4 linked regions of the Ovis aries genome follow. The protein of the gene in region 1 binds, or shares a complex with, the protein of each later gene. Links are inferred from orthologs where the notes say so. Each region holds a gene or a part of one and is shown in the gene's direction. Other genes may lie near its edges. The genes, in order: SLC3A2, SLC7A8, SLC7A10 and SLC7A11.

Region 1 (8,105 bases):
ACTCATCACTGGTGAGTGGCAATGTCACGGGTGGTTCACTAATGGCCAAAGACAAACTTACTTTGGATTTAGCAAGTCATGTCTGCAGTTATTCAGAGCACCAAACAAAAACTGGTGAATTCTATACAGCAGCCATAGATAATAGACTTACCTAAAATCATTCTCAGGCACCAGACAAGGAGCTGTACCTAAAACACAAAGGCAACTAAGTCAGTAATGCTGGCTTCTTGCATTATAAGCTATTACTGTCTAAGCTACCATTCCCAGAAAATCAGATATCCGAGTCTCAACAGCAAATCATCAGCCGAACGAGATTCCATGTAAGTCATCACAGATGCCTAAAAAGGCATTTTCTCCCACTCAATACATTGTATGCACATATGGAGGCCACTCACCTCTGAGCGACGGTAACTGGCAATGTTACCTACAAGAAGGACAAAGCTATGAGTGATACAAATTCCACACACACAGTACCCCACTGTTGTCTTTCCCAGTTTCTCAGATGTTCATGTCTTTTCACTGTTTAAATCATAGTGAGCTAGTTTGATTCATCATAGAAACTGCCTACTTGGTGGTGTATGCCATACACACATTAATCAACTAACCTTTTAACTCTGGAGGCTTTCCAGAAGTGTGTATAGTAACAAGCTGCTCCTGAATGAGAAAATCATGTAATTAGCAAAATATCTAAAACAACCAAAACTATTCTAACTAGGGTTAATGGATAACCCAAGCCAAGCAAATGCTGTTCATTTGCTGTACCTCAGACAATTCCTCATGGAATGAAATTTCATCCTTTCTCCCAGTTCGCCCCAGTGGGTTCACCATTACTGGCTCTGGGGCTAGAACAGGGGTAAGACAGGACGCCTGCTTTCTTCATTGGCACTGGAGTTAAGCAACAACAAGCAAGGTTACAAGTACTCACCTCTGGACTCTTTGTAGGAGTCATCCTGAGCAGATGAAGAGGCATCTAGGAAATCAATAAAGATAAAATAAAAGATCAAGAAACAGCATTATCAGAAACAAGAGAAATCCCTCTATTTCCCACAATACTGAGAGAAGTAACTTACTGTAAGACAGATGACTCTATTAATGCTGTGACAATCTACAAAAGGGGAGAAAATGGTTACTCCAAAATACTAAGACGAAATAAAATTTCTTCATTAACAGAAACTGCCATCAGAACTCTAACATGCTATTAACTGTGGTACCTCACAGAGGATCAGCATTATCAATTCAAATCATCTGACAGTGAGTGATGTGTGGGTGAGGGAAGAGCACACCCTCACAAAACTATGCTGCTTGCTGGGCTGCCGACTCCCTCCCCAGGAAAATCATTCCAAGAGGAACAAGTTGGAAGGAGCAAAAACACTGCTCCACTGACCATTTGCTCTCGGGGTTGTTGAAACCACCACAGACCACAAACTTCCCATTTGAAAACTTACCTGCATTCACTCTGGGAGGCAGTTGAATTCCTCAAGACTGGTGAGGAGATGCTGGAAACAGAAAAATGAGCCATTATTTTTTAGTACTCGAGAACTACCATTAAAAGACCCTGGAGCATTCCAGGCCCACTTCTCAGTAGTAAGATGACATCATTTTTGAGTTCAGGCATATGCTTGTCATTTTACATTCATCATGGAGTGGCCAGTGCAATTTCAACCAGCAAGTCCCATCCCGACATTGTGCTTCTACCCCCCCATCTGCATAAAGCATCGGGTACCCACCTGCAGCATCACCACACTTGATCCACAGAGGGTTAAGTCTTGTCTCATCCTCCAATCTGTAAGCTCCTTTGAATTAAACCACATCTGGGAGAAAAAAACAATACCCTTTCTTACTTTTATATCTCGTAGTTTGACTGTCCCACGTTAGTGCCTTAACGCAGGGCTAAAAGCCCAAACGTCTGCTACGGATGGTGCTACTCAGAGTTTTTGTTTTCTCCACTAATCCATCAGAAAGAGAGAGTTCAATTTTTGAAATCATCCCCGTAGCACATCCCGTCGGACTCCCGCATATTCAGCAAGGAAGAAAAAAAGGACAGTAAAGGGAGGCCAGGAGCACTTACTCCAATGAGACCGGTTTGAGATCCTTCAGCGTTTGGCGCGCGTCCGAACCCTGCAAACAAATGATATTGGGTCAGCACTGTCTGGTAAACGCTTTGTTTCCCGGAGCTAAGACTGCGTTGCCATGCAAGGCCGGCCTCCTCAGAGTTTCTTATCCTCACAGAGTTCAGTACAGGTCTGTGAAAAGGGTCTCATCACAGAGAGGCCTGTCGGCACGGCCGGCCATCGCCATCTTGTCCTTCACAAAGCCCCCGTCCCTTCAAGGCCTCAACACTAAGGTCACGTTTTCTCTCCTCCCCCACGAACCCAATAGGTACCACAAAGAGAGGCCAAGGCCCGGACACGTTTGCACGGGCGTTTTCCTCGTAAACCTCAACAAACCAAATCACTTACCAAGAGCTGTGGATAAATGAGACTGAGAGGCTACCGCGAGACACATAAATACTATCTCGCAAAGGCCCACGGGATTTGGGGGCGGGACTACGGCGGGCGCAAGCGCAGAGGGAAATGGGTGGATTGTGGGTAGAGATTTCTAGAGGAAGTACGAGAGGCTGTGCGCCTCCTGAAGCGGTGGCGCGAAAAAGGTGCGCATGCGTCTTAGGGTGTGCGCAGGCGCGACTAATGTGGTGCCGTGGGTTCTTTACTGCGACTTCTTTTGGCGCCCAGGCGGCGAGTTACCTGCTTCGCGCAGATCCTGGACTGACGCTCCGTGTCGGTCACAGCTGACTGACCCACACCCTTCCCTGAGCATTCCCTTGCTTGCACACACTCTAGATCCGCGTGCAGAGTCCTAATCCATGGACCACGAGCCTCATGAACCCTCCGCTGGCGTCATCTCGGTTCCAAGCCAGCCGCCCAGCGAGCCTTCTGGGCCTGGTCCTCAGGGGCTTGGTCCTCAGGGGCCCAGCGCGGGGGGCGACTCAGGTATTACTGGGCCCCGGGCCGATCTCGAGTGGAGGGCTCTTGCATGGAACCGTTTTGGGAAAGTGAATCAGGTTGTAGGTGCTCTTGAAATATTATAACAGTTTTAGGATATTTTCTGTAACCGGCCACCTTTGTCTTACTGTCTGGTCCGATTTTGCTCGGAGCTTGTAGTGGGGCTAGCGTTAGCCGACATTTAAAACGCCGTTTTAAGGACATTGTGTGTGTGTGTGTGTGTGTGTGTGCGCTCAGTCGTGTTTGACTGCGATCCCATGGACTGTAGCCGGCCAGGCTCCTCTGTCCATGGAATTTTCCAGGCAAGAATACTGGAGGCCATTTCCTACTCCAGGGGCTCCTCCCTACTCCAAGAGATCTTCCCAACCCTGGGATCGAACTCGCATCTCCTTCCTCTTCTGCCTTGGCAGGAGTCGTCTACCAACTTCGCCACCTGGGAAGCCCCTTAATGCAGATTACCTGGAGGGAATCTAGGTGTAAAAAGCTTTTGCAGAGCCGCGTACAACTCCCGCCTGACAGGCAGGGTGGTTCCAGTCATCTATACCCTTGTTACTGAGGACAACCAGTTGTAGTTTAATCATTTGTAATGCATACCTAGGGTACATGACCGTTTTAAAAATGTACTATATGTACATTTTATAACCATTTATTAAGCTCTTACTGTGTGGTCTCCTGGATGATCTCATTTACTACTGCAACCCTAGGAGGAGGCCATAAGGTAATGTTAGGGATGAGGAGCCTGAGATCTGGAGGGGTTAATTAACTTGCTCAGAGTTACCCAGCTAAGAAATATCAGCCCAGGTGCAAATCAGCCCAGGCAGTCTTGATGACAGAACCTGCACTTTTGATCACTATCACTTCTCTGGGTATTTAGGGGGCAAACAAGTACACAGGAAACAAATGGCATGATCCTTGGATACTGTTTCTCAATTTTTTTTCTTGTTGTCTTCCTCTCTCCAGGAGCCTTTAAAACTAAAAAGCATTTCCCCCTCTAACTTAATATAACTGTGTAGGGCTTCCCTTGTAGTTCAGTCCGTAAAGAATCTGCCTGCAGTGCAGGAGACCCGGGTTCGATCCCTGAGTTGGGAAGATCCCCTGGAGAAGGAAATGGCAACCCACTCCAATATCCTTGCCTGGAAAATCTCATGGACACAGGAGCCTGGTGGGCTGTAGTCCATGGGGTCGCGAAGAGTTGGGCATGACTGAGCAACTAACACATATAACTGTGTATTTGCTTATATACTGCGGCCCTTTAGAGGGCCAGAAAGCTTCTGTGTAATATCTAGGATTTTCTGCCCTCTTCCTGCTCCAAAAGAACCAATTTTCACTACTTTGGTGGCAGTGTTGTCCCCATGCATGTCCCAGCGAAACAAAAGTGACAAAACAAATACCAAAAGAATCCCAATTTGAAAAATGTTATTATAGCTAGACTAAATTCATGTATTCAACAATGTTAGATGCTTGTCCAAGTGGGTGATTGAAAAGTTGTAACAAAATGTATAGAAAATGAAACAGATAAGGAAAATTCAGAAGGTCCAGAGTAGGCAAGGAGGTTGTTTGTGGGCATGGTATTTGGAGAATGTTTGTGGGCCTTAAAGGGTAGATAAGCAGATCCAGGAAGGAAATTCAAATTAGAGAAATAATCTGAGTGACAAGATTGGAGCTGGAAAAGTGTATAAATATAGTTCATGAAAGATGGGTTGAAGGGGAATCATAGAATATAAAGTTGGAAAAGATTTCCTAGGGAAGGCCAAATGAGAAGGGCTTGAAATACAAAGCTAAATAATTTGAACTATAGGTAGAATAACCTATAAACCAGGACTTAACTTGGTGGTCCCGTTAAGACTGGTTATGACTCTGCCTCCACTGCATGGAGCATGGATTTGATTCCTGCTTGGGAAGCTAAGATCCCGCACACTACACAGAGCAAGGTGGGGAAAAAGGGGTAAGTTGAGACAGGACATTAATTAGATTGTCACAGTAATTTAGGCAACAGATAAGTGGATTCAAGCATGATGAAAGGGAAATAGGAATGATTTATAATACATCAGAAGTCCTCAACTCACACCTGCAGGAATGTAAGTAATGCAGGTAAGCCATAGGAGCCTGATAGGGATCTTGATATGCTTGTCTTTGCTCCTGCTGAGTGTGCCTTGCCAGAATATTGTCTGAAAAATTTGATCAGGAGAATCCAGAAAACCAAAATTGTTGATTAATTTGCTCCTTAAAAATGTTGGCATGTTACTTAAAATTTTTAAGCATTTTCTCTGAGCCAATCAGAATATGCCTGTATACCCAAGGTGGCCCATGAGTGAGTTTGCATCAACTTCTGTAGTAATAGAGAATCCACTTTAGAAAGAGGGAATGTTAAAGATTGGATATTTTTTTTGGAAGTTGTTAACAGGTTGAGTGACTTAAACATCAAAACGGAAAAAAAAAGCCAGTATTCTTGGCAGTTGGAGATCATGGCCATGACCTTCACTTAATGTTTATTTTACCAATACTATTTATCTGTTGAGCATCTACTGGGTACCGGAGATACAACAAGGAACAAAGCAGCCAGTCCCCTTATGCTCCCTTGGAGCTTATATTCTGGAAGAAAACACAGAAACAGACGAATAATACGTCAAGTGGAGTTAAATGCTGTGGTGAAAATTCGACTTTGCTGGTGATACAATGGTTAAGACTCTGAGCTTTCACCACAGGGGGCACGGTTTTGATCCCTGGTCGATCCATGCAGGATGGCCACACACAAAACTGAATGAAATGTGTGTGTGTGCATGTGTAAATATATTTGCAAAAATATATATATATATATATATATTTGCAAAAGTGGTACAAAAAGGTTAGACTGTTACATAAAGGGAAATGAGAAAAATGAGATGAAAGAATTGGTGGAGGTGTTTTAATGTTAACCTGTATGAAGTGCTTTCTACGGCACTTTCCTGGCACTGTACTGAATGCTTTGCACATGTTACCTCAATTTGAAAAATAGTTTTTGTGGTTACCATCCTCATTTTACAAATAAGAAAACTGAATTTTATATCAAGTTACTTACTCAAGGACACATAACTAGTGTGGCAGAGCTGTTATTCAAATCTAGTCTCTACTTTTGACCCTGTTAAAAATGATCCAAAACTTGGAAATAGGCAAAAGTTATTACCAGGTGTCCTTTTGATAAAGGTAAAGCAGGCCTACCTAACTTGGGGATTACCTGGTTTTCCAGTGGGGCGTGTGCCTTCGTTTGATGTCCTTTTTATTGTTGCTCTAGGTATTTTGTAATTTGATAAGATTGCCTTCTAAGACGGAGAAGGAAATGGCAACCCACTCCAGTATTCTTGCCTGGAGAATCCCAGGGACAGGGGAGCCTGGTGGGCTGCCGTCTATGGGATCGCACAGAGTCGGACATAACTGAAGCAACTTAGCAGCAGCAGCAGCCTTCTAAGACATTGGCTGGTTTTGTATCTATCTATTAGAAGGCAAATTCATATCATTCTTATCTGGACTTTAAGCTGATGATCCTCCTTTCCCAGCATTCTCTTTTGAACCAGTTTTAAATTTTATGTATTCCCTTGTTAACTAATAGGTTGAATAAAATCTTTGATGTGTTTATATAATTATGAGTCATATTTTCAGTTTTTAAGATTATACTTTAACAACTCCTGGGGTACATTGCCTTTTGTTGGCCCATTTATTTATTCATTCAGAAAATATTTGTTGAGAGTCAGGATTTAAACTCAAGAAGTCTGACTCTGGAAGGAGCTTTAGACAATATGCCAGTGGAAGTCTAATACCATGCCACCCTCTGGCTAACATCTTATCTTGCTCTTTCCAGCAAATGTCTTTTACTTTAAAGATCTGTCTATACCTGCATCACCTGGATGTCTGTTAGAAATACTGAATCTCAGATCTTTCCACAGATCAAATGCGCTTGCATTTATTCAAGATCCCCAGGTGGTCTGTATGCACACTAAAGTTTAAGAGCACTGGATTTATACAATACTGCTCACTTCTTTCTCAGGACACTCTTCTCTCATCCTACTTGATCTCTCAATAGCACCTTTTTATCCTGTTCACCCAGTTCCTTTTTTTAAAATCTGGTTTTTCTATGCCATCACAGAAACACATGGTAACACCCTTTGACCTACCATGTCCAGTGACCCCATTTCCTGTTTCTTAAAACACTGTTTCCACAGTGCTTGGGACGCTGCCCTCTTCTAGTGTTCCTCTTATGTTTTTGCTATTAATAACTTCTTCATGATCCTTTGAGGTATATCTTCTGTCCCATTGTTCAAACATTAATGTTCCTCCAGTTACATGTTGTTCAGCCACTAAGTTGTGTCCGACCCTTTGGGACCCCATGGACTGCAGCATGCCAGGCTTCTCTGTCCTCCACTATTCTCCTGGAGTTTGCTCAGATTCATGTCCATTGACTCAGTGATGCTAACCATCTTATCCTCTGTCATCCCCTTCTCCTTTTGCCTTCAATGTTTCCTAGCGGCAGGGTCTTTTCTGGTGAGTTGGCTCTTTGTATCACATGGCCAAAGTATTGGAGCTTCAGCAACAGTCCTTCCAATGACTATTCAAGGTTGATTTCATTTAGGATTGACTGGTTTGATCTCCTTGCAGGCCAAGGGACTTGAAGAGTCTTCTCCAGCATCACAATTGGAAAGTGTAAGTTCTTTGGTGCTCAGCTTTCTTTATGGTCCAATTCTCACATCCTTCCATGGCTACTGGAAAAACCATAGCTTTGATTATATGGACCTCTTTTGGCTTCTTAATATGCTTTTTTAATATGCTGTCTAGGTATGTCATAGCTTTCCTTCCAAGGAGCAAGCATCTTTTAATTTCATGGCTGCAGTCAACCTCTGCAGTGATTTTGGAGCCTAAGAAAATAAAATCTGTCACTCCTTCCACTTTTCCCCCTTCTACTTGCCATGAAGTGAGGGGACCAGATGCCATAATCTTAGTTTTCTGAATGTTAAGTTTTAAGCCAGCTCTTTCACTCTCTTTCGCCCTCATCAAGAGGCCTAGCTTTTTACTTACTCTGCCTGGGCCACTTTATCCACTTCCATGATTTTAATGGCCGCTGTTATCAGGGAA
Region 2 (7,377 bases), on another chromosome or scaffold:
TTTGGAGAGAAACTCTTGGGGGTCATGGCCTGGATCATGCCCATTTCTGTCGCCCTGTCTACATTTGGAGGAGTCAATGGGTCCCTCTTCACCTCCTCCCGGTGAGTGCCTTCCAGGCCCTTCAGGGCCAGGGACCCCTCTGCTGTGCATATTGCTGTGTATTTGTGGGGGGCTTGTCTCCATCAACGGGGCTCTGTGTGGGCGCCTGGCGGAGGAGCCTGTGCTGCTCATGTGGTGACGCACGACATGTGTGGCTTTACATGTGGTGGCAAGAAGCACCAGCCTTCCCACCTCATGTCCAGAGGAGCAGAGGGCTGAGGAGGCCCGGGCTGTGTGCTTGGCAGCAGGACAGTGTCTTGCCTGCAGCCTCGGAGTCCCTTTTCCACTTGCCTAGAAACAAGCCATGCTGGCTGGAAAGGAACCCCACTCTGAAAGGGACCAGGAGGGACCCATGCCCGGGGCCTCTGGGCTGACCTCCCGTGAAAGTCCTGGGTCCAGACTGCAGGTGAAACTGGCTCATCTCTGAGTGCCCTGAGGGTGCAGGCTCCTCCCTGTTGAACAGACAGGCAGTTGTGGGAGGACCTTTTGTGGCCACCATGAGACTCAGGTAGGGGTGTGAAGTGAGACAACTGGGGAAGAACGAAAGGGAAACATTTGTCCAAAGCCATATCTCTCACCCCAAACTCTCAGGGAAGCCCAAGGTGTGAGTGGACCCAGGAGTCCCCAGCCCCCGCCTCCACACACCCGGACATCTGGCCCCCTCTTTGATGTCCCTTCTTGTTGTCTCCAGAATGGGTGGTTGAGCCCAGCAGATAATGGATGATTTCCATTGCTGTGGCTCAGAGGGTCCTCCCAGGGTTCTTAGGAAACCCCTCCTCCCCCAAGGACATAGTCCTCACAAGCAGTGAGCCCCTGAGTTCAGCTGCTTCCCAAGCCCCCAGTCACAATAGGGCAGAGTTCCCATGAAATGACAAACAAGTGTCATGTTTTCAGGACAGGGAAGGGAAGAGGGCAGGGCAGGGAAGAGGGAGTGTGGGTGTTCCCTGCACCCCAGGACCCTCCAGCACTCACCCACAGCAACCTCGTATGCGTGTTACACAGGAGCAGTGGCCACCTGGAGGCCCCAGCCAAGGGCGAGCGGTGGAAGATCAGTGACCCATGAGGCTCTCTGGGATCTACTGGAGTAGAGTGACTGGCTCCAGTTGCTTTAGAGTGGGGTTTGTCCCTCGGGCAGGCTGAGCAGCGGTCTGCATGCATGTAGTCCGGCTGTGTGTGCATGCAGAGGCGGTGGCCCGGTGCGCTCAGCCTTGGAGTCAGAGGCACAGCTCACCCAGCAGGCCTCCTCAGCTCATCCTTCCAGTTCCTTCCCCCCACCCCTCCTTCTCTCTCTTATTCCTTTGTGTTTGGGGGAAGGGAGAGGATGATTCTTCCTGAGGAGTGGGCGTGTGTATGTGTGTGTCATGCTTAATGTCCTGTCTGCTCCGTGGTTGGCTCGCCGGGCAGCGATTGTCTCTTGTGAACTTGACTTGCCAGTGCTGTTGGACCTGTCAACTCGCTTGGTCCCGGCTGCATGTGGAGGAGAGAGATGAACGTGGGACCCTGGTTATGTGCATGGTGAGGCCCACAGAGTGCCTGGGGCCCTGCTGGGTGCATGAGGCTGCCCTGCAGAGGCGATGCCATGTAGCTGCATGAAACTGAAATGGGCGAGTTTGCTGATGGTGGCAACGATGGTGTGCATATGGGTACTTGGGGCCATAATCAACCCTCACAGTCCTCAGGAGCTACTGCTGATAGCCCCACTCTCTCCCATACCCAAATGACAAAGTGACAGTTCTCTCCAGACCACCCAGCGTGCTGACTCTGTGCCATTCTGTCCCCCCCATCACATCCCCTTCCTCTCACCCCTTAGCTGATCCTTTCCCTCCAAAATCATAGAAAAAAGAAAAAGTGGTCTAATTTCTGCTAATATGTAAATAACTCCTAACAGCTTACAGTATTCTCTTTTTTCTTGGGAGAGGAAAGAGGAAGAAGGGCTGCTCTCTACGTTAAAATTTCTCTCTCTTTTTATCCTGGCTGTGCTGGGTCTTGCTGCATCGAACAGGCTTCTCTAGCTGTGTGTGGGCTGGTTGCCCCACAGCATGTGGGATCTTAATTCCCCAACCAGGGATCAAACCTGTGTTCCCTGCATTGGAAGGCAGATTCTTAACCACTGGACCACCAAGGAACTCCCTAAAATCTCTCTTTTAAAAAATAATTTGTAAACATCAATATCCAAGTCATGATACTATAGTATAGTTTTGTAGTATATTACCAATGGGAGAGTTTTGGGTGAAGTCTACGTAAGGTCACATTGTTTCTTACAGCTGCATATGAGTCTACAAATATCTCAGACAGAAAAATTATCATTATTTTAAACTTAAAAAATAATTTTGGGCGAGTTTCTTGGAAGTTAAGTGGTTAGAACTCCATGCTTTCATTGCCAAGGGCCCAATGTTCAATCTCGGTCAAGGAACTAAGAGCCTATAAACTAGGGTACAGTGCAGAAAAAAAAAAAAAGTTTGAGTTTCTTGTCTATTTTTTTTCAATCTTTTTTATTTTACAATATCTTTGTATGTACTCCTTTTACTAACTGTATGCATTTCTTTAGGATGGTTTTTTGGGATTAGAATAAGTAGCTTAAGGATATAAATTTTCAGGTATAATTTACATACCAGATCGTAAGTGCTCAGACTGATGAATTTTGATGTTTGTAGACAACCGTATAACTACCACCCAAAACACGATGATATAGAACATTTCCACGTATCCCCCCCGCCAAGTTCTCATGTGTCCCTTCCTCATCCAAATCCATTCCCCAACCCCCACAAGGGCAACTACTTCTTGACCAAGATATATGTTTTCATGCACAGTTTATTCCCCATGCCCCAAAGAACCTATATCCTCTGAGGGGGGAGGTACATTTCTTAAGGGATTAAGGCATTAAGCAAAGGAGAGGGGCTACTCCTACAGCTCTCCAAGCTTTGTGAGAGACTCTCAGAGTAACAGCACGTCATCAGGAACCGCAGACCACACTCAAGGTCTCCACAGCCCTGAATCCATCCAAATATCCACTGACTGCCTCTGGTTTGCCTGCACCTGCATTTGTGAACGTGGGTCCTTTGACTAGTGGGCTGGAAGGTGTGCACGAGAAGTACCTGGCTGGAGTGGAGATGCTCCTGTATGGGCAGAGGTGGACATGGAAGAGGGAGCTGGGCTAGGGAGGGAGCCTTGGATGGTCCAGGCTGACCTGCTTTTCTCTCTGCCAGGCTGTTCTTTGCCGGAGCCAGGGAGGGCCACCTTCCCAGCGTGTTGGCCATGATCCACGTGAAGCGCTGTACCCCCATCCCAGCCTTGCTCTTCACAGTAAGGGTCCCTCCCTCTGCCAGCCCTATACACACCCTCCCCCTTTGTGCTATTTTGAACTGGGAGTTCATACTTCCCACATGTGCTGCTATTACCCTTGTCCTCCTAGGTTTCTTGGGGCCTCTGATAATCTAGCAAATGGTATACATGGGCCTGATTAATATCAAGAGATATAGCAAGGAAGGAGCCTAAGTCCTGAAATGCCTTAAGGCTCCCAGGCCGGCTCATCTCATTCTTCCATCCTTTTGAGTCAGACTGAAGGAGCTGCTTCCAGATTCCAGAAGCTCACAAAGAAGCTTTTTTCCTTGGCTCCTCCTGCCCCTGTGACCCGCAGGGTTGCAGCTTTGGGCCTCTGCTCCTGGCTGATCACAGCACACTCCCACCCTTCCCCATCGACCTTCTTGCCGGAGGAGGTTCTGCCAGTCTCTGGGGAAACACCACTGAAATAAATCTGGTGTTCACCAAATCTGGTGTCACACCAAATAAGAAAAATCAGAAGGGAAGACTGGTAAACTGAAAGTGGAGAAAAGAAAACAAGGGGGTTATCTGGTAAATGGAGGCGGAATTAATTACACCAGAGTAGAATCATTTATATAGAGCATACAGAAGGAGAAAGACATCCCCAGTGAGTCTTTGGTTTTTTGTTTTTCCTTCTGGATCCCAACTAAAATATCAAAAATGACTTTGGTCTAACAGAGAAGCAGTTAGATCAGAGAGCAGAACTCTCAAGAGTCAAGGGCATTCACTGTACATTAGGGGAAATTTCAGAACGTTCCGATACAGGAAGAAGGTCGTCTTGATTGGTTAGTGGTGAAAGGCAGCTGGAGAAGGCTCAGTGCTCCCAGTAAGCCACAAGCTTTTTTTTAGTTTGTGCCATTGGTGCAGGCTTATGATGGCAACTCACTCCAGTATTCTTGCCTGGAAAATTCCACGGACAGAGGAACCTGGTAGGTTACAGTCCATGGAGTCGCAAAGAGCGGACGTGACTGAGCGACTTCACTTTCTTTCTTTTCTTTATGACTACAAGGCAACTACAGTAAGAATCTGGCTTTTTCATCCCTTAAATTCTTCTTATTTTCACCATCAGATCTTACAGGAGAACTGAGCCTTCTGTTGGCCTTAACAAATTAGCAGAGGGAAAAGAATATGCTTCTGAGAGATCCCCTGAGATAATTTTGAAGTTGGAAAGTGAACTCTGTCCAGAAAACTTCAGAAGGATATTATGAGGGTTACATGAGTTAATATTTGCAGAATGCTAAAACTAGAGCCTGACACTTAGGAAGTGCTATATAACTGTTTATGACATTAAAAAAAAAAAAAAAGAAAGAAAGAAAAATAAATTAGATGACTCAACCAGGAAAAGAGGATGAGGGCAAGAATGAACCTTAATCTGCAGTTAACAGTCTTCCCTAAGGGATAAAAGACAAAATTAGCTTGAGCTTCAACTAAGGAAGAAATATAAATGAGCCCAGAGTGGCATAGAGCTGCGTGCCACCAGCATTGCCAGTCCAGGTGTATACAGCCAGCATCTGCTCTGAGTGGTTAGTGCCCATGTTGTGCCTGTGGTTAAATGTTTTGATTATCACTCCTGCAGTAAGAAAGAACTTCCTGGTGATGAAGCTGTTAGCAATGACCTGGGTTTCTAGGAGAAGCTATAAAGTCTCCATTTTGAGAGATCCCACTGTGGAATGGCATTGTCTGCCTAGAGGCAGGGGAGCAGCCTGCCACCAGTAAACAGCTTATCTGTGGTCTCCCAGTGCCTTTCTGATTACTGATGAGCTTCTTCCACGCCCCCCAGTGCATCTCCACCCTGCTGATGCTTGTCACCAGCGACATATACACGCTCATCAACTACGTGGGCTTCATCAACTACCTCTTCTATGGCGTCACGGTTGCCGGACAGATAGTTCTTCGCTGGAAGAAGCCGGACATCAATCGCCCCATTAAGGTGCTAGAACCTCCCTGTGGGGCCCCCTCCCCTTCCTCCTCCTCCACTGCTTCTAGCTGAGCTCAGATTCTTTTAAATCACCTTGTTCTCACTGCTGACCAAGCCTCACCATCTCCACGATGGTGGGAGACCCTTTGGGAAGCAAAGGCTGTGTGTAAAGGGGGCAGGCATTTCCATTCTCCATGGGACCAGAGCGAACTGCAGCTAGGGGAATAGGTTCCACGACCTGATAACTTCCATCATGTCACTGTTTCCATCGTGTCATTCCTTTGTTTCCTATGGCTCTAAGTCTTTAAAAAGTCAGCTGACTTTTCCTGGACCTTCTAATCTGACTAGTCTCCGCCTTGTCCCTCCACGTAACTGGCTTTACTCATTCAGTCTTTCCATCTCATCCCAGAATGAATTTCCTTCTCCCATCTCCCTCTCCAAATTTTAACCATTTTCCACCCTCAAGAACCTCTCTTGAAGTTTCCCAGTCCACTTCAGCACTCCATGATCCTCCCTTTTTAGACTACTATAGCTGTAGGATGCCTGGTAAATCTCTTGATTTATAAGAAATAATTTTGTGATAGGAATAAATGGGATTGCTCAGAACAACATATGCTAGAGTGCTATAGGTTCTCCTGCTAATTAGAAGAAGAGGGTATATCCCTGAGCTATTTGAACAATCCTGTTCTGGAAATGAACTTCCCTGGTGGCTCAGGCAGTAAAAAAATCTCCCTGTAATGCGGGAGATCCAGGTTCAATCCCTGGGTCAAGAGGATCCCTTGGAGGAGTGCACATCAACCCACTCCAATATTCTTCCCTGGAGAATCCCGTGGACCAAGGAGCCTGGCGGGCTACCCCATAGTCCATGGGGTCACAAATAGTCAGACACAACTGAGCGACTAACACACGTTCTGGAAACGCAGGGAGACTAGATGCTCTTCACATCTCTGTTTTCCATTGCCACTCTCCTGCCATGCTTAGAAGGTGTGCTAGAGGGAAGAGGAAGCAGAATAATGCCATCTCCTTACCACTTGCGTACCCTCCTAGAGGAGAGGACAAGGAGGAGAAAGGCAGTAAGTCTAGAACCTTGAGGAAGACTATGGGGGACTTCCCACCTGTGGTCAACAAGAGGATGTTGGGCCTGTAAAGTTTGCTCCTTCCTGAAGTAAACAAGGCCCCGGGCTGCCTCATACCACACTAGCTTTCTTGATTTCTTGGGTCTTAGGTTTATCTGCTCAAATGGCTTAAGGTTTATCTTTCAAATTGCTTACAAGAAATTGGAACTGACTCTGGTGAGAGGAGGGACACTTCCCACACCCTGCCAGCTGGGAGAGGGTAGGGGTCTGGTTGACAGGAAGTTTCCTTCTTGCCCTCATTCATTTCTTCTGCTCTCCTTCACCTTCAGCCCTCAGCAGACATAGAGCAATATACCAGCAAGCCCGTCAACCCCCACGGGCTTCTCTGACTGCCGCAGGCATGCAGCTGCATGAAGAAGCCTTGTTAGATCCCTCCTGGGACGACAGTGAGGACTGTCCCCTCCCTAGGCCCCCACACTCCTCTTACTGTCCCACTGCCCACGTTCACCAACATCTCTCGACATAGCACTTGCTCTGTCAAGGCTCAGGGTCGGGGAGCCACAGAGCTGAGTGAAGCCCAGTTTTGCCCTCCAAATGCTTCCCTTTGGGAAGAAGAGGGAAGATGTTCTGATCTTGGGGGCCACAGGGTCCACACAGGTAACAGCAACTCTGATCCACAGGTCAGCCTGCTGTTCCCCATCATCTACTTGCTGTTCTGGGCTTTCCTGCTGCTCTTCAGCCTGTGGTCAGAGCCCGTGGTGTGTGGCATCGGCCTGGCCATCATGGTGACAGGGGTGCCGGTCTACTTCCTGGGTATTTACTGGCAGCACAAGCCCAGGTGTTTCAATAAGTTCATTGGTGAGTTGCTGAACATTATGGGCAGCCGGAGGGCCCCTGGTCTGGAGTCGAGTGGTCATTGGTCTGGCTAGAGAGCCCCACCAGGAGCAGGAGGCTGTCTACAGA
Region 3 (8,109 bases), on another chromosome or scaffold:
TTAGTGCTAAGTATTATTCTCTTAAGGGATTCCCTGGTGGTTCAGACAGGAAAGAATCTACCTACAGTACAGGAGATTTGGGTTTGATCCCTGGGTTGGGAAGATTCCTTGGAGAAGGGCATGGAAACCCACTCCAGTATTCTTGCCTGGAGAATCCTATTGACATAGGAGCCTGGTGGGCTACAGTCCATGGGGTCGCAAAGAGTCAGACACGACTGAGTGACTAAGCACAGCACACATTATTCTATCATCTAAACTGTAGATGTGCCATTCACCTACTGAAGGACATCTAGATTACTTCCAGGTTTTGACAATTCTGAATAAAGCTGCTATAAACATCCATCTGAAGATTTTTGTGTGGACGTGAGTTTTCAACTCCTTTGGGTAAATACCAAGGAGCACGATTGCTGAGTTGTATGATAAGAGTATGTTAGTTTTTAAGAAAATTGCCAAACTATCTTCCAAAGTGGCTGTACCATTTTGCATCCCCACCAGCAACCAGTAAGAGTTACTGTAGCTATACATCCTCGACAGCATTTGGTGTTGTCAGTATTTCAGATTTTAGTCATTAAAAGGTTGTGTCTTATCACTTCTTTTTCTTGCCTTATTGCACTGGGAGGACCACCCTCCCAGTACTGTATAGAAAAGAGTGCTAACTAACATTCCTTCTCATCTCCAGTCTCAGTGGGAAAGCAATCATTTCGCCATTGAGCACGAAGTTACTGAATGGGTTTTGTTTGTTGTTTCCTGTATTTTGGAGGGTTTGGTAAGATACCTTTATCAAACTGAGAAATCTCCTTACTGTTTCTAATTTGCTAACAGGTTTTTTGGTTTGTTTAAATCGTGGAAGACTGTTTTCTGAATCTTTTGAGAACACCCTATGATTTTATTTTTTCCTCCTGTTAATGTGGGGCCTTATATACCTCTTGTCATTTGGATGGTAAACCAATCTTGCCAACTTTTTTTCCCATCAGGGTTTGCAAGTTCAGGTGTATTCCACTAAAATGACCTCCTGAACTGTGGCCCTGGAAAACAAAATGCAAATTCCATTCTGCGCAGTGCCCTAGGGTCAACCCCCCTCCACCTCCTGAAACACCGACTCCACATTTCAAGGACCATGAGAGGCTCACCTTGGAAAACCACAGGCCCCTGGCCCGTGAGGCTCATGCCAACCCTGGAGGGACCCTCTCCCAACAGACTTTATCGTTGCAAGGCTAGCTGGGTGCGGAGAGTCGAACAGGTCAGACCCCAGCCCCCATCACGCGCGACAATTAAAAAGTCCCCAGAGCTCGCGCCGCTTGCCCTCACCCCACCGCCCGCGCGAGGCTCCTTTAAGAGAGTCCGCGCTGAACGCGTCTCTGGGGCGGGAGGCTGAGGGCGCCAAGAATGCGGGACTCCGACGGGAGCGCGAGGGCTGCAGCGCCGCCGGGCGGCCTCCCCCTCCGCGTCCCGCCAGGGTCGTCCCACGCCTACTCCCAGGTCCCCACCCCCGGCTCCGAAGGTCCCCCTCGCCTGCAACGCCGGTGCGCCGCCACGCCGGCAGCCCGACGCTCCGCGCGCAGCCCAGCTCGGGGCCAGACCCCGCCCCACCCCCGTCCGCCCGTCGGAGGCCGCGGGCGGGGGGAACGCGGGTCGCCCGGCGCGGCTCATCCGCATTCAGGGGACAGCGCGTCGCGGCGGCCGCCAGGAAGGGACAAAGGCTGTTCCGCCGCCGGCCGCACCGTGCCAGACTCTCCCCTCCCGCCGCCCTGGTGGCTCCCGACGCGGCCCCCCTCGTGTCTGCTCCGCCGGGCCGGGCTGCGCAGTCCTGACGGCTTCCGGGAGGAGGAGGCAGCGGCAACCGCCCTTGGACTCTGCACACCCGACCCCCGCCTGTGACCCCAGAGGCCAGGGCCCCCTTCTCCGCGTCTCCGGGGCAGTTGAGCTGGCCTCGTCTCCTGGTGCTGGCTGGACTGCGCGGGGCCTTCGCCAGAGACCCGAGTTCTGGTGCACCGAGCCCGAATTCTCACCTGTGGATAGAACCTGCCAGGCTCAGCGCAGAGCCGGGCTGGGCGGAGAGCGAGGGAAGGTGGGGTTTTGAGCCCAAGCCCTCCCAGGCCCCCCACGAGGCACTGGGTCCCCTCTGGATGGCCGTTGAGGGCTCCAAAGTCTTCACCCCGACCCCGTCTCCCCAGACTTTTGATGGCGTGGGCTTAGGGTCTCCTGACCCCTTCGAGGGGATCCCGGACACAACCTATACCCCTTGGAGAACTGTAGCTCCTACACCCTCCACCCAGCGTCTGTCAGGAGGCCAAGGCGGCATGGGAAAGGGTTTGCACCTGGCGCAAGCCACTCGGTCAGCTCCCTTTTCTGTCCCGGGAGCTCAGCGTCCACCCGGAGAATGGGCCCAACCTCCATCCCTCTCCTGGCACTCGCGCTCTAGGAACCCGTGCCAGGATGTAAGGGGTCCGGCAGCGCTGGCGCACAGGGGATCTCAGCACACAGACGGCTATGATGGTGGCCAGCTTCCTTCAGTCTCCTTGAGGGCAGGGACAGTCCTGCCTTTGAGCCCTGCTCCCCTACCCCCACCCCAGGAATGGCTGTAACTCAGGCAGCGGGAAGACCCACTTCTTAAGCCTTCTTGGGTCTGGGAAGTTCTTCCTAAGTCTGCCCCAAGTCCTCTCCTTCTTTCCAGGCCCGGGATGGGACGGGGAGAGCCACGGGGAGGGGGGGAGAGTTCCCTTTAAGGAAGGTGGGGGAGGGGGCTGCCGGCCGGTCTTCCTTCCGCCCCTCCCCGGCCCCCGCCGCCGGGGCTCAGGGCCCGGGCCCCGCGCCCGCGCATGCGCCCGCCTGTGGGCGCTGTCCCGGCTGCGAGGGCGGCGCGCACCGATAGCCGGACGGACAGGCGGCCGGTCGGACCGACGGGGCAGCGCGGGGAGCGGGGACGCGGCGGGACAGCGACATGGCCGGCCACACGCAGCAGCCGAGCGGGCGCGGGAACCCGGGCCCTGCGCCCTCGCCCTCCCCCGGCCGGGGTCCCGGCCCGGGCACCTCGGAGCGGGTGGCGCTCAAGAAGGAGATCGGGCTGGTGAGCGCCTGTACCATCATCATCGGTGAGTGGGACCGGGGCGGGCGGGTGCCTGGGGCGGTGAGGCCTGAGGCGGACAGCGGCTTGGGACAAGGAGCACCCCTCTCCGGGTGCGCCTAGCGGTCCGCGACGGTGGACCATGGATGAAGGATGCACGCCCGCGGCACATGCGGCGTCTCCCTTCACACCCCAGCCGCAGAGTTCCCAAGTGGCCCGAACTTCAGCGCTCTAACGAGGTGCAGGTCCCATCCACCGCTGGAATCCTCCTGCCACCCTTATTTCTTTAAACTTCTGCAGGGCAGTTTCTCTCAGTCTTATCATCTCTAACATGTGGTCCTGCCTTGAGTGCAGGAGCCTTGCCAAGTGAGCGGACACTGTAAGCTGGCCTCCTGCTAAGGCCCCCCCAGTTCTGGGTCTTGTCGCTCCAGCAGAGTTCCTACCGTGTGCAGGGTCCAGGTGCCAGAGCGTGTGAAGGATTTATTCTTCCAAAGCAGGAGGGACTGTGGGTAGCCTGGACAGGTAGAAACAGCCCAGAGTGGAAATGGGTTCAGAGAATGTAATTAGTGCCAAGATTTGCAGCTGGACCCTGGCGCAGGGGGGCGGATCAGCAGTGATGGGGTGGCTGAGTTGGGGTGGGCAGATCCCACCTGCAGAGAGGCTTCCTGGGCTGGGACCCCACTCGCATCCTCTCTGGCCCAGCTTCCCCACCTGAGAATGAGTGCATACATCCTGCCCACATATGGGGACTTCTGGGTGGGCAGAGGGCTCAGGGCCCAGTGAAAACAGTGGTGGGATTTTCTTCCTGCTGTCCCAAGTCATGAACACGGACACCTCAGGAACTGGCTAACCCAGACCTGTGTTCACACAAGGTGCCCCAGACACCCTTGTGGGAGGAGTCTGTTCCACCTCCAGTGTCCCAGGAGACACGGGCTGGAAGGATGAATGGAGTGGATTTCGACTGCTTTCCCTTTATCACCTGCTCATGCTTCCCATCCCCAGTCAGTGGGAGCTGCTTGTTCATCTCGGATCCCTGGAGATGGAAAAAGCTGGGGGCTCAGGAGGACAGTCTGGGGTCTTCACTTCCTCCTCCGCTGCCCGCCCCCGCCCCCGCACTGGAGCTCCTGGGCCAAGTCTGGGGTCTAGCTCTTGGTCAACCCCCACACTCACACTGAGAGTTGCCCCAGGACACAGCCCCTGTGCAGGTAGGTACCCCTCTGTCTCACCCCCTCGCACCTGGAAAGGTATCTTCTAGGGGCTGATCCTGATCTGGTCTGGAGCCCTTCTTGACCTCGAGTGCCCCTGTCCGTCTGCTGAGAGGACAGGCTCCTTCCAGGGATTCAGTCAGAGTACTGGCTAGAGATTTGCCCTGACCCACACCCTCTCCAGGAGCTGTGCCCCCAGCAAGAGGAAGCCAACACATCGTGGGTGGACCAGGGAGTCCAGAGGCTGACCAGCTACGGTGCCCAGAAGGGACAGAGAGAGACGTGATTCTTCCTGGGCTGCCTCAGCTAAACCCAGAATCCTCAAGCATAGACCTACTCTGCCTTCTCCCCGTGTCCCATCCCCACTCCCCTGAGTCAGGCAGAGGCTGCTGGCTCATCTCGCCTCCTGAGAGGGCCCTGGTGGTGATGGTAGGAGCAGATGAGGCTAACTCAGCAGGAGTTTTTCTGTGCAGCACGGGTCTGCCCTCCCAGCTTCCCCACCTCTCATGCCATTTTTGCTGTTCAGGGCCACTGTTCCCTTGGCCTCAGACCTTGAAGACTGAGCTGGGCTTTAGGAGTGACTTAGCCAAGGGTGGCAGACTCAAAAACAGAGCCCAGATGATCTGACCGCAGCCCAGGACACTCAGGGGTGGTCCTATAACCCTACTTGGGGAGTTTTGAAGGGTTTCAGCAGGTGGGAGGCTAGCCTGGGCAGAAAACAGACAAGGGGAGAATGGACCTGTTTCAGAAGGTGACAGACGAGGCAGGTGTGGGCTGAATCACTGCACCACCATCTCCCTCCTGACACCCTGAAGGTCCCCTCTTCACTGTTCCAGGGGCCACATCTCCCACGTCTTATCTCACGTTCCTGCTCTGGGGAGCCTGGTCAGAGTAAAAAATATCTTCAGAGAGTCCTATTTTAGCCTAAAAAGTCTTGAGAACTTTATGGCCTTCTTCATAATCTTTCTTGTTTGTTAGCAGCTACTCTTCTTATCTCCAAAACTTCCAAATATTCTCCCAGAAGAACCTATAATTCCCCTTGCAGCCCCTACCTCAGGCTGAGTAGGGCTTTGGGCTGGAAAAAGACTCCACCTAAAACGTGCTTAGGACCACTGAAGCAAGCACAGCTGGAGGGGAATAGGGAACCAGCCTGGAGGAAAAAGAGTCCTCTGGGGCCGGAGCTGTGCAAGACATCACTACATCCATCTATTCAGAAAACCACGCCTGGCTACATTATGAAAACACGGTCTCCCTTTATCTCACGTGATTGCCCACCTTGCAAGATGGGAATTTTCATACCACTTTATAGATAGAGAAACTGCTGTTGAAAGTTAAATGATCCTGCTGCAAGGGGTGGACTTGCTATTTGGAACCAGAATTGGACTCCTCTCCCAGTCCAGCGTGCTTCTTCGCACTGCTGTGGTGCAGGGCAAAATCAGAGCCAGATTCAGAGCCCATGATAGGGGAAGGTTGAGGATTAAGCTGGGAGCTCATCCAACCAAGATTTACTGAACTCCTCACTCTACTATAAATAGACAAACAGGTGGACAGAGAAATCTCCTGTGACTCCTCACCCCCACCCAAGGCTGTATGTACAGGATCCCTTGTCCTGACTCAGGGACCGCAAACAGCTACCTCCCCAATTCATGCCCAAGGAGGGACTGTGCCCAGGTTCAGCAGAGTGAGAACCACCTGGGTCTGCTGACCAGGCTGTCCTGGCCTCCACTGTCTCCCTTTGACCCAAATATCTGGCCTGTGTTTGTGGATCAGGCTCAAGTGTGTTCTGGGGCTCTGGGGTCTCCTTTCTGAACCCCATCTCCTTAGGAGCCAGTACCTATGCATCCAGCTGTGGCCAGGTCCCTCCATTGTCTCCAGGGCTGGAGATTCTGGGCTGCTCAGAATAGCCCTCTTCAGAACCCTCGCCCACCAGCCTGTCTTTGCTTCACCATAGCCCCAATTTGCAGATGAGAGAAGTAGGGACCTGAGGCCCAGGGTCAGATGCTTTTGGTGTGCTCTGGAACACCCTTGGGGGCTGAGGCAGCTCCAGCCACAAGGGTGGGGCTGGCCAGCACCGGTCATGTTCATGCATCTATTCAACAGTTAGGTACCAAACAGTGCAGGGCCCTGTTCTAGATGCTGGAGGCACAACAGGGAACAGGACAGACAAACCCCTATCCTCCTGGAGCTGACGTTCCAGCGTGAGAAGTCGAAGAGCAAACAAGATAAGCCAGCTGAGTGTTTAGCTGACGGGGTCATGATTACATGCTAAGGTGAGAAGATGATAGAGAGAGGTTTATAGATAGGAGATGAGTCAGGCATGGGATGGGGTCCAGTCTTTGTGGGTCTTGCAGCCATAGTAAGGACCTTGCCTCTTTTTCTTTGTCAGATGGGAGCCCGAGGAGGGCTTTGAGCAGAAGAGGGATGGCGTGGGGTGGAGTAGGACGGAATAGAACAGGATGGCATGGCATGACGTGGCCTGGGGCTTACTCTGGGGGAGAGGCTGCGGGCAACAGGGGCTGAAGCCGGAAGCCCAGTCAGGAGTCACCGGGGTAAGAGATAATAGTGGCAGAGAGCAGGGTGATGTTAATGGAGGTGCTGAGAGGAGGTTCAGTCCTGGACATGTCTGGAAGATTGAGCCAAAGGACTTGTGATGAACTGGATGAAGGATATGGCCGAGTAGAGTCTAGGTGATAGCGGATTGGAGCCTGAGCAGCTGGGGGCCTGGTTTGCCATTCATTGATCTGGGAAGACTGTGAGATGAGTAGGTCCAGGGAAGAGAGTCATGTCCTTCTGCTCATCACCCTTTCAAAAGGAAAGTGGGTCAGTCTGGTGGTACACACTGGCTGATTGGAAATTTCAGGCATGTCTTGGAAATGTCCCCGCTCACCTCCCTGGAGTTTTGCCACGACTTCAGCGGGCACCTGTGTCCCCCAGAGGGGTGCCTGACACGTGCTCACCACCAGGACACTGGGAGGCAGAGGCTTCACCCAGAGCAATAGCAAGGCCCCCAAAGCGGGGCTCTGGCTGCTGACCCCAGGGTGTTGAGGTCCCCAGGGGCTCAGGTCTCCATAGGCCAGCCTGGGTGGCTGGGTGTCTCCAAAGTAGACAGCAATTAGGACTACCCATAAACACTTCCCAGGACCTCTGAGGTAGCAGACGGGATGAGTACGGAACCACATCACTCCCCCATCTCCCCATCTTACAGATGAGAAGGTTCAGAGAGTGGAGCAGTTGTCCACAGCCCCCCACCACAAGGGACCTAGGGTTTGAATTCAGATTTAGGGGTTCTCAACTAGTCGTTGGCCCTGCCCATGGTCCCAGGACATTTGGGACTTACCAGCAGGAATTTTGAGTTCTTCCCTGGAAATCTCACAGGTCACATCCTAATGGGGAGGTGCTGGGACTCATTGCCCAGTGCAAGGGAAGGAGGCCTGGCCCATCGCCAGTCCCTGACAAGGCCCAGGAGCCCCGGAGCTGTTCTCTGTCAGGCCAGCAGGCCAGTGTGGCAGAAGGAGGCCCTGTCATAGCCATGCTCACTGAAAAGATGGGCATATGTAAAAGGACCTAGGCCCTAGGCCTTTTAGGGGGCTCAAACTCCTCATCTCAGCAGGTCAGGGCATAGTCCCTGCCCTCTGGGAATGCAGGGTCCACCCAGGATGGAAAATAAAGTAATCACTTCCTGGTCATCCTCCAGGCACCATGGGAGAGGAGGAGGGGCCATATTATAGAGATCATGGTGGGAGATCAGGGAGGGCTTCCTGGAGGTGGCCAGTGAGCTGGGAAGAGACCTGCCACAGGGGAGGACAGAGGGCCCTGAGCAGGCCGTGTTTCCTCTGGCAG
Region 4 (7,377 bases), on another chromosome or scaffold:
TTTGCTCTTCTCTGGCAGATAGTGCTTTTTTATTCCAAAAGATACTGCTCTTTAAAGGTTTTAACTCTTTGTCCTAACTCTCTAGGACCAAGTACTACTAACTCTTGGTCCTACATGGACTAACCTGTTTATTCTGAAGGTCTTGGCAATGTTTTCATGCATTGGTTTGAACATTTATCTAGAGAACTCAAATTTTCATGATTAGGAAGAAAGTATTTTAAACAAAACTTGTTGAAATAAAAACTTAATATAGAAATATCAACAGAGGAATTATATTTAGGTGTTTACAAAGGGTTTATGGTATTCATATTTTGTGGCATATACATTTATAGACAAAGAGAAACCTAATTATTGATCTTCTTAAATGATTTTGTGTGCCCTCAGCCTTTAATCTTCTCCAACACTTGGTATATTCAGAATAAATCATTGTCTAATAGGAGAAACCATAGCCAGGTTCCTGGATTTTGTATCCTGTGTGCATGCAGCTCCCACTATGTGATTCCATTTTTGTATACTATAAAAGGCTCTTCAGATATGATAAAATGGGTGGCTCTGAGCATTAACTAGTTAAAGTGATGTTGACTTGTACTAAGAAAATATGCTTCTGCATAAGTGTGTCATCTCAAGTGATTAAAAATAAACTAATGAGACTAGCTAAGTTTACACTTGAGTTGGTATTCTTTGATTACTAATCACAGGGAATATGCTTCTATACTAATCTATTTATCGATGTTTGCATTACATTGGTCACTTGAGCTCCTAGGAACTTTTGACAGGAGTGCCTTCCTAACAGAAAGCAAAGCAAAATATAAGGGAAAAAATTCGTTGTCTTAAAACTCTGGAACTAAGAGTATAGAATGTGTATATTGTGTTTACAATTTTGTTTAAAGCCAGGTTTAATACATGGGTTCTTACATCCTATTTTGAACTGTTTTCATCTGACTAATATGGTTATGGAGCTTGAGACCTTCAAATGAAAATTTCACTTTCCCAGAACTCAATTTAAACCTGGGGCAACCATCCTGGAATTTAACCAAAGAATACACAAGTCTAGGTATTGAGTCTCTGGAGATAAATTCTGAGGTTCTTAAGACATTTTCCAATAACATTTAATATTGGATGATTTTTTGTACACTCTACCAACATGGCAACTGGTTTCCAATAGAGAATGAACTGCAGGTAGTTATAGTTAGTTTTAAATGGCCAAACTGTATCGGTGATTCCCAACTATCCATCTGTAGACTAAGTTACTTTAGAATTAGCTGTGCTAATTTTAAAATTATAGATTTTCTTTGATGCCTCTGTCAAAGAGTCTGGCTTCTCTTGATCAAAGAGGAGGTCTGGGGGATGGCCTTAGTGCTTGTATTTTTTATTTTAATTAAAAAATTATTCCCAGGTGATTCTGATAGAGTTCTAGTTTGGAAATAGGATAAGCAACATTAAGATTTTGCTGAATATCCAAATTACGTTTATGTTGGACAGTTCTACCTGAAGCTCTATTGATTAGTAATAATTTCTCACGCTTTTAGTCTCCAGAGTAGCTCAGGCAGAAATTATGTCTTACATTTGAGTACTTAACAGTATGGGTAGAACTTTTCACACAATGTCAAGATATACTTTTCATTATATATACAATAACTTGCTCACAGTAGTAGGTGAAGCTGTATTTCATGAGGTGCTTTCTGTGTGTCAGGCCTGTTACTGTCCTTGGCATTCATTTTCATACTTATACACACAATCCCCTTATGAGGTGAGAATTAAAATCTTTATTTCTCAGAGGATGAAACTGAGGTTTGGAGAGATTACATAATCTGCTCAAGTCTTTGTGAATTTTATTGCTAAATGTTAAAAATTGGTTCATAATTAATTTTATCTCCATGTTCATAAATATGTTAAAGCATCTCTTTTTCAAAACTTTTATTTCAGTCACCCAGGAATGATACTCTGAAATACATCCATAAGAAACTTTCTCAAAAAGAGAATATCTGAGTCAAATTAATTTTGTTGATAAACAAAACATACCCTATAAATTAAATGAAGCCTTCCAAAACCTTGAGTCCATACTTTTGAGGAGAAGAGAGGAATTTTATTTATTTTGATATGTCACAAAAACATCATTTATTAAAAGGATGCTCAATATAATGAGGTCAATTTGATATAATTCTTTGTCTTGATGTGAAATTATGTTCTTCAAAAATGGATTGTGGATTCAAAATTTTTAATAATATTATATTGTTTTAGAAGTTTGTCTTTACCATTTCAGGTAAAATTACCTTGAACAGAATGAACGAGATTTCAAGCATGAGGAAGTTACAAGAGGACTTTGGAGGTTCTTAGGAATTTGATTAGTATTGTTTATTTTGAAAAAGGGTGTCATTCAAACCAAAGGAAGTAGTATCATCTCATGAAATACTGCTGTGTCCATTCTACTGCTGGATGACTTGGTAATATTTTAACTTTGTGCCTTTTTATCTTAATTATTTCACAGGAGCCTTGTCCTATGCTGAACTGGGAACTAGTATAAAGAAATCTGGTGGTCATTACACGTATATTCTAGAAGTCTTTGGCCCATTACCAGCTTTTGTGCGAGTCTGGGTAGAACTACTCATTATACGGTAAGAGCCTAGACAGAAAAAAGATTAAGGAAAAATAAACCTATTCATTATCCCATTTTTGAATCACTTTGATTATTTTTAAATAATTAGAAATATGCATGACTATGTGGTAAATATGTCTCCTTCAGGACATAAAATCTGGGATGAAATACCTTTCTCAATTGATGTTTTTAGTGCCATTTTGCCACTGGCAGTAGTTTTCTAACCATGCCAAACTTTCAAAGCATCTGCTTGTTGTTAACATTCAACTATTCTCTAAGTCATTTTCAGGAAAGATGCTGACCTAAAAGAATGTGAATTGTCAAAATCTACCATGATAAATCAGACCTTTTGTTTGATTATAAATTGTAATTTGACAAAATTAAATGTTCTCCTAGGAACTGGGGTTTTCCTTCTTGTAGATCACACCATTAAGCCATCTTCAGTTTACTCAGTTTTCGTGACTAGGAAACTTCTGCTCCTAGCAACTTAGTATGTCATCAAGTTTTATATTCCACCAAAACAAAACAAAACAAAACAAAACAAACACACACACTTGTCACAATGACTCATATCCTCACGTTAAACAAATCAGTGAACTACAGTTGCGAAAAGCTTTTTGATTATATTGTTGTAAGAATGCATTCCCCTTCCTGATTGCCGTGGTTTAAAATCAAACCAAATAATGCTAAGTCACTCTGAATAGCAAATTTCCTCCAATTTTGTGGGAAACTTATGATGTCACGTGAGAACTTCAGATTATCCTTAAAGCAAACTGCTTCCATGAAATGTGACTAGCACATTCTGACAGCAGAATTTAACAGAAATAATTAAAGAAACTTGTTCTTACTGTAAACTTATCAGACTTACACAGCTGAAAGCTCCTGTGAGCTCTTATCCTATCATTTAGAGCTAAGTGGTAAATGCAGAGCTAATAAGTATTGACTTAACACTAATCTTGTTTTTTATAGTCCTAGGAGTCTCTTTTGTAGCAAAGAGCTTAGAATAGTATTTACATCTTTGTTAAGTCTGTTCTCATTTTAAGCAATTTTGCATTATTTAAAACTTATTATTATGAAATAATGATAAAGAAGTATTTTGTTCTTTTTCTAAACTCTGGGATTTGCCTGGGAGGTGCCTTCCACTCTTTTCTGATAATATGAAGATTACTCTTCAAAGGTCAACTTAAGTTCTATCTTTTCCACAGTTAATTTCCTGTTCACCCTAGTTTATAGTATTTCTTTCCTCTCTTAATTCTTCTGAAAAAAAAAAAATGCAGTCTCTGCTTCTCATTTGACATTGAACATGTTGGCTTATATTCTTACTGAATATTTTAGGAATCTATGCTCTGTTTCCCTGTTAAAACTGCAAGCATTTCAAGCATACAAAACCAGGTCTCTCGCTTTTTGTAACTCTTATACTACTTATTGTCATATATTAAATGCAACTAATTGTCATATATTAAATTCTTTTTGAATAGCAGTTGAAAAATTTAGTAAATATTCAATCTTTCAGTAAGTTATATTGGGTTGGCCAAAATGTTCATTCAGGTTTTTCCATTAAGATGGCATGAAAAATCCCTAACAGATTTTTTTTGCCAACCCTAATAGTTTGAATAAAATATACTCAGTAGTTAAATAAGTACAATACTTATTTAGAGTGGTGGCCTGTCAGAATAGTGGGCTTTGGGGCCTGATACAGCTGAGCTGGAGTCCCTCTCCAGCCATGTACTGGCTAATTGTGTTGGTTAGCCATACTTTGGTTAACTGCTCAGCGTTATGATGGTCTTGATCATTCCATTTGCACTAGTAGCACCAACACAGTGCTCATTCATTCATCTGCTCATTCCACAGACTATGCTACTGAATGGTGTATGGCAAGTTAAAAAGATCTAAAGTGAAGTGAGCCTCAGTTCTTATTCTCAAGTAGCTTATAATCGTATTACCTTAGACAGCTACTTCACTGGGTATGTGTTTATGGAAGCAATTACCTATATATTTTCTAGCTTTTGTAATGGATTCGTATGTTTCTTTGTAATAAGGACTCACATTACTCAGTTATTCTCTCAGAGTAATGAAAGACTTGAGGGGTGACAAAGTACCTGAGTAATATAACATTCCTCTTCCATTGAAAGTACCCATGGTACCTAAATATTTGCTATTAAAATTGTACTTCAGATTAAGTCCCTTTTGTCAGAAATAATCTGTAACAAATCTTAAAAAGAAATCATACATCGGGGTCATTTGAATTCATGCATTCACCATGCATTCATTAGTTTTCTGTTGTGTGACAGACAATTTACTAGACGCTTTACCACACACTGAGGATGAAATAGTGATTGATAAGCACACAGTCATACTCATGAAGCTCACGGTCAAGTGAGGGAAACAATTATCAATCAAGACATCGTGTAAGAGAATGAAAAGTTGCTACTGTGATACACATGTGAAAGGGGGGCTATGAAGTTCCACAAGAGAGAATACTCTGGGAGATCTAACGCAATTAGAGGACTGAAGAAGCTTCCTCGGGAAAAAGATTGAACTAAGACCTGAGGTATAAGAAACTGTCAGTGAGTTTCAGGGGTTCTAGGCAAAGGGCATCCATATCCTTCTAGTGGGAGAAAGCACACGGAAGAGGAAGGGAAAGTTTTGACCAGATGGAGCCTTGTATTGAAGGATTTTTGTGGATTCTGACTGTGTTTTGAAAGCACTAAAATGACATTATTAGATTTTAATTTACACATCAGAAATTTATAAATGATGGATAATTAGAAAAATGTCTTGTTGTGGTCAGGAGGAGATTGTCTTGGAAAAAAAAATCAAGAAATCTCACTACTGCACATCCACACTGAAGATATCATAATTGAAAAAGACACAGGCACCCCAGTATTTATCACAGCACTGTTTACGATAGCCAGGGTATGGAAGCAACCTAGAGGTCCATTGACAGGTGAATGGGTAAAGAAGATGTGGTGCATATATGCGATGGAACGTTGCTCAGCTGTAAAACAACACATGTGAGTCAGTGCTAGTGAGGTGGATGAACCTAGAGCCTGCTATACACAGTGAAGTCAGAAAGAGAAAAACAAATATCGTCTATTCACGCATATGAATGGAATCTAGGAAGATGGTACTGATAAATCTATTTGCAGGGTAGCAGTGGAGATGCAGACCTAAAGAACAGACTTATGGACATGGGGGAGGAGGAGAGTGGGGTGATTTGAGAGAGTAGCCTTGAAACATATTCATTACCACAGATAAAATAGATAGCCAGTGGGAATTTTCTATATGATGCAAGGAGGTCAAATCTGGTACTCTGTATCAACCTAGGGGAGTTGGGATTGGGTGGGAGCTGGGAGGGAGGTTCAAGAAGAAGGGGACAAAAAAAAAAAAAGAAGAAGGGGACATATGTATGCCTATTGATGCATGGCAGAAACCAATACAATATTGTAAAGCGGTTATCCTCCAATTAAAAATAAATAAATCTATCTTGGTTTCTAATACCAGCAGGTTAGGGTTGGAATACATAATAGTGGTTGGTTTCCTGACAATCTAGGTGTTAGACCTGGAGGTTGAGTAACCATGAGATGGAAGATAAACTAAAATGGAAGACTTGGCATGGGAAATTTAATAATTCCATTGACTTGCCTGTGTATCTAACAAACATGCATTCATATGCAGTATATTTAAACTGGAAAGGCCTGTGTCATTTTCTAACAGAAAATTGAAAAGCTAAAATAGAATCATTTGCCACCTGTTTTACTATATACCTGAACTTATTTCATTTTCTTATCTCATTCATGTTTTCTCTATTTATAAAATTACAAGACTAATTTTGTTTCTCAACACATACTTTTCACCTAAATATTTCTATGGAATTAAGAATAATCATTTGGCTTTTCAAGGTTTTTCTGTTTGGAAAAATCTAGACTAATACAATGTCAAGCATGTAAGCATATATTTGCAATGAACATTTATTAATAGTAATTTTTTAAAGTTGAGTTTTGTGTTCCTTTTCTGAACCCATTAGACTGTGCTGTTAACTCATCCCTACTCTGCTGGAGTTTAATTGTTGACTTACTGAGAAAGGAGACTACTTCTTGTATGGCCCAGCCCTATTGGATCTCAAGTAATAAACTAGATTTTTAAGCAAAAAGTTAAATATGGGAGGAAAGAAGAAAAACTGACAGCACTCAGCCTTGTTCCTAAGCAGATGTGAAGTTTAAAAACTAGCTACCAAAGTTGCAGACAGTATTTCATTTGGAATATCTGTGATGACCTAATCAAATATAGGCTAAAAACTCAACCTTCAGAAAACTAAGATCATGGCATCCAGTCCCATCACTTCTTGGCAAATAGATGGGGAAATGAAACAGTGACAGACTTTATTTTTCTGGGCTCCAAAATCACTGCAGATGGTGACTGCAGTCATGAAATTAAAAAATGCTTGCTCCTTGGAAGAAAAGCTATGACAAACCTAGGCAGCATATTAAAAAGCTGAGACATTACTTTGTCAACAAAGGTCCATCAAGTCAAAGCTGCGGTTTTTCCAGTAGTCATGTACAGATGTGAGAGTTGGACTATAAAGAAAGAATTGATGCTTTTGAACTGTGGTGTTGGAGTAGACTCTTGAGAGTCCTTTGGACTGCAAGGAGATCCAAATCTATCCTAAAGGAAATCAGTCCTGAATATTCATTGGAAGGATGCGCTGAAGCTGAAACTCCAATTCTTTGGCCACCTGATGTAAAGAACCTGGGAAAGATTGATAGAGGGAGGAGAAGGGG

The links.
Region 2: the proteins of SLC3A2 (region 1) and SLC7A8 are in contact, whole or in part, in a cryo-EM structure (PDB 7CMI), measured with the Homo sapiens proteins. The link is inferred for Ovis aries from reciprocal best matches to the Homo sapiens genes SLC3A2 and SLC7A8. Residues at the interface, in NP_002385.3 of Homo sapiens: Thr162, Gly163, Leu164, Ser165, Lys166, Glu167, Leu170, Ala173, Gly174, Trp178, Arg182, Leu185, Phe189, Trp190, Trp193, Met196, Leu197, Gly199, Ala200, Ile203, Ile204, Ala207, Arg209, Cys210, Arg211, Leu213, Lys532, Arg534, Asp558, Gln559; in NP_036376.2 of Homo sapiens: Leu147, Leu150, Phe151, Pro152, Thr153, Cys154, Phe155, Pro157, Ser159, Gly160, Leu163, Leu164, Ala166, Ile167, Leu170, Leu171, Trp174, Gln294, Ser352, Met356, Val359, Glu481, Thr484, Leu485, Gln488, Lys489, Met490, Cys491, Val492, Val493.
Region 3: the proteins of SLC3A2 (region 1) and SLC7A10 are in contact, whole or in part, in a cryo-EM structure (PDB 8WNT), measured with the Homo sapiens proteins. The link is inferred for Ovis aries from reciprocal best matches to the Homo sapiens genes SLC3A2 and SLC7A10. Residues at the interface, in NP_002385.3 of Homo sapiens: Phe161, Thr162, Gly163, Leu164, Lys166, Leu169, Leu170, Val172, Ala173, Trp178, Arg182, Leu186, Phe189, Trp190, Trp193, Met196, Leu197, Ala200, Ile203, Ile204, Ala207, Pro208, Arg209, Cys210, Arg211, Glu212, Leu213, Arg534; in NP_062823.1 of Homo sapiens: Leu147, Val150, Phe151, Asn153, Cys154, Pro157, Ala160, Val163, Leu164, Met166, Ala167, Met170, Leu171, Trp174, Ser352, Val359, Glu481, Thr484, His485, Trp486, Gln488, Glu489, Leu490, Phe492, Val493, Val494, Tyr495, Gln497.
Region 4: the proteins of SLC3A2 (region 1) and SLC7A11 are in contact, whole or in part, in a cryo-EM structure (PDB 7P9V), measured with the Homo sapiens proteins. The link is inferred for Ovis aries from reciprocal best matches to the Homo sapiens genes SLC3A2 and SLC7A11. Residues at the interface, in NP_002385.3 of Homo sapiens: Glu167, Leu170, Ala173, Trp178, Thr181, Arg182, Phe189, Trp190, Trp193, Met196, Leu197, Gly199, Ala200, Ile203, Ile204, Ala207, Arg209, Cys210, Glu212, Leu213, Lys299, Arg534, Gln559; in NP_055146.1 of Homo sapiens: Leu151, Phe154, Phe155, Ile156, Gln157, Cys158, Glu159, Pro161, Leu163, Ala164, Leu167, Ile168, Ala170, Val171, Thr174, Val175, Val178, Gln217, Gln219, Val360, His373, Thr487, Gln489, Ile490, Ile491, Glu493, Val494, Val495.

What each region holds. Positions count from the first base shown.
Region 1 is NC_056074.1:37,693,399-37,701,503, forward strand, and holds the start of SLC3A2 (amino acid transporter heavy chain SLC3A2), read left to right. Parts: upstream 1-2,711; 5' UTR 2,712-2,863; coding exon 2,864-2,990; exon of another isoform or gene 2,991-7,676; intron 7,677-8,105. UniProt on the Homo sapiens protein: Acts as a chaperone that facilitates biogenesis and trafficking of functional transporters heterodimers to the plasma membrane.
Region 2 is NC_056060.1:21,540,735-21,548,111, forward strand, and holds part of SLC7A8 (large neutral amino acids transporter small subunit 2), read left to right. Parts: coding exon 1-101; intron 102-3,305; coding exon 3,306-3,402; intron 3,403-5,200; coding exon 5,201-5,350; intron 5,351-7,094; coding exon 7,095-7,272; intron 7,273-7,377. UniProt on the Homo sapiens protein: Associates with SLC3A2 to form a functional heterodimeric complex that translocates small and large neutral amino acids with broad specificity and a stoichiometry of 1:1.
Region 3 is NC_056067.1:43,151,776-43,159,884, reverse strand, and holds the start of SLC7A10 (asc-type amino acid transporter 1), read left to right. Parts: upstream 1-2,831; 5' UTR 2,832-2,941; coding exon 2,942-3,092; intron 3,093-3,355; exon of another isoform or gene 3,356-8,109. UniProt on the Homo sapiens protein: Associates with SLC3A2/4F2hc to form a functional heterodimeric complex that translocates small neutral L- and D-amino acids across the plasma membrane. Preferentially mediates exchange transport, but can also operate via facilitated diffusion.
Region 4 is NC_056070.1:19,473,736-19,481,112, forward strand, and holds part of SLC7A11 (cystine/glutamate transporter), read left to right. Parts: intron 1-2,488; coding exon 2,489-2,615; intron 2,616-7,377. UniProt on the Homo sapiens protein: Heterodimer with SLC3A2, that functions as an antiporter by mediating the exchange of extracellular anionic L-cystine and intracellular L-glutamate across the cellular plasma membrane.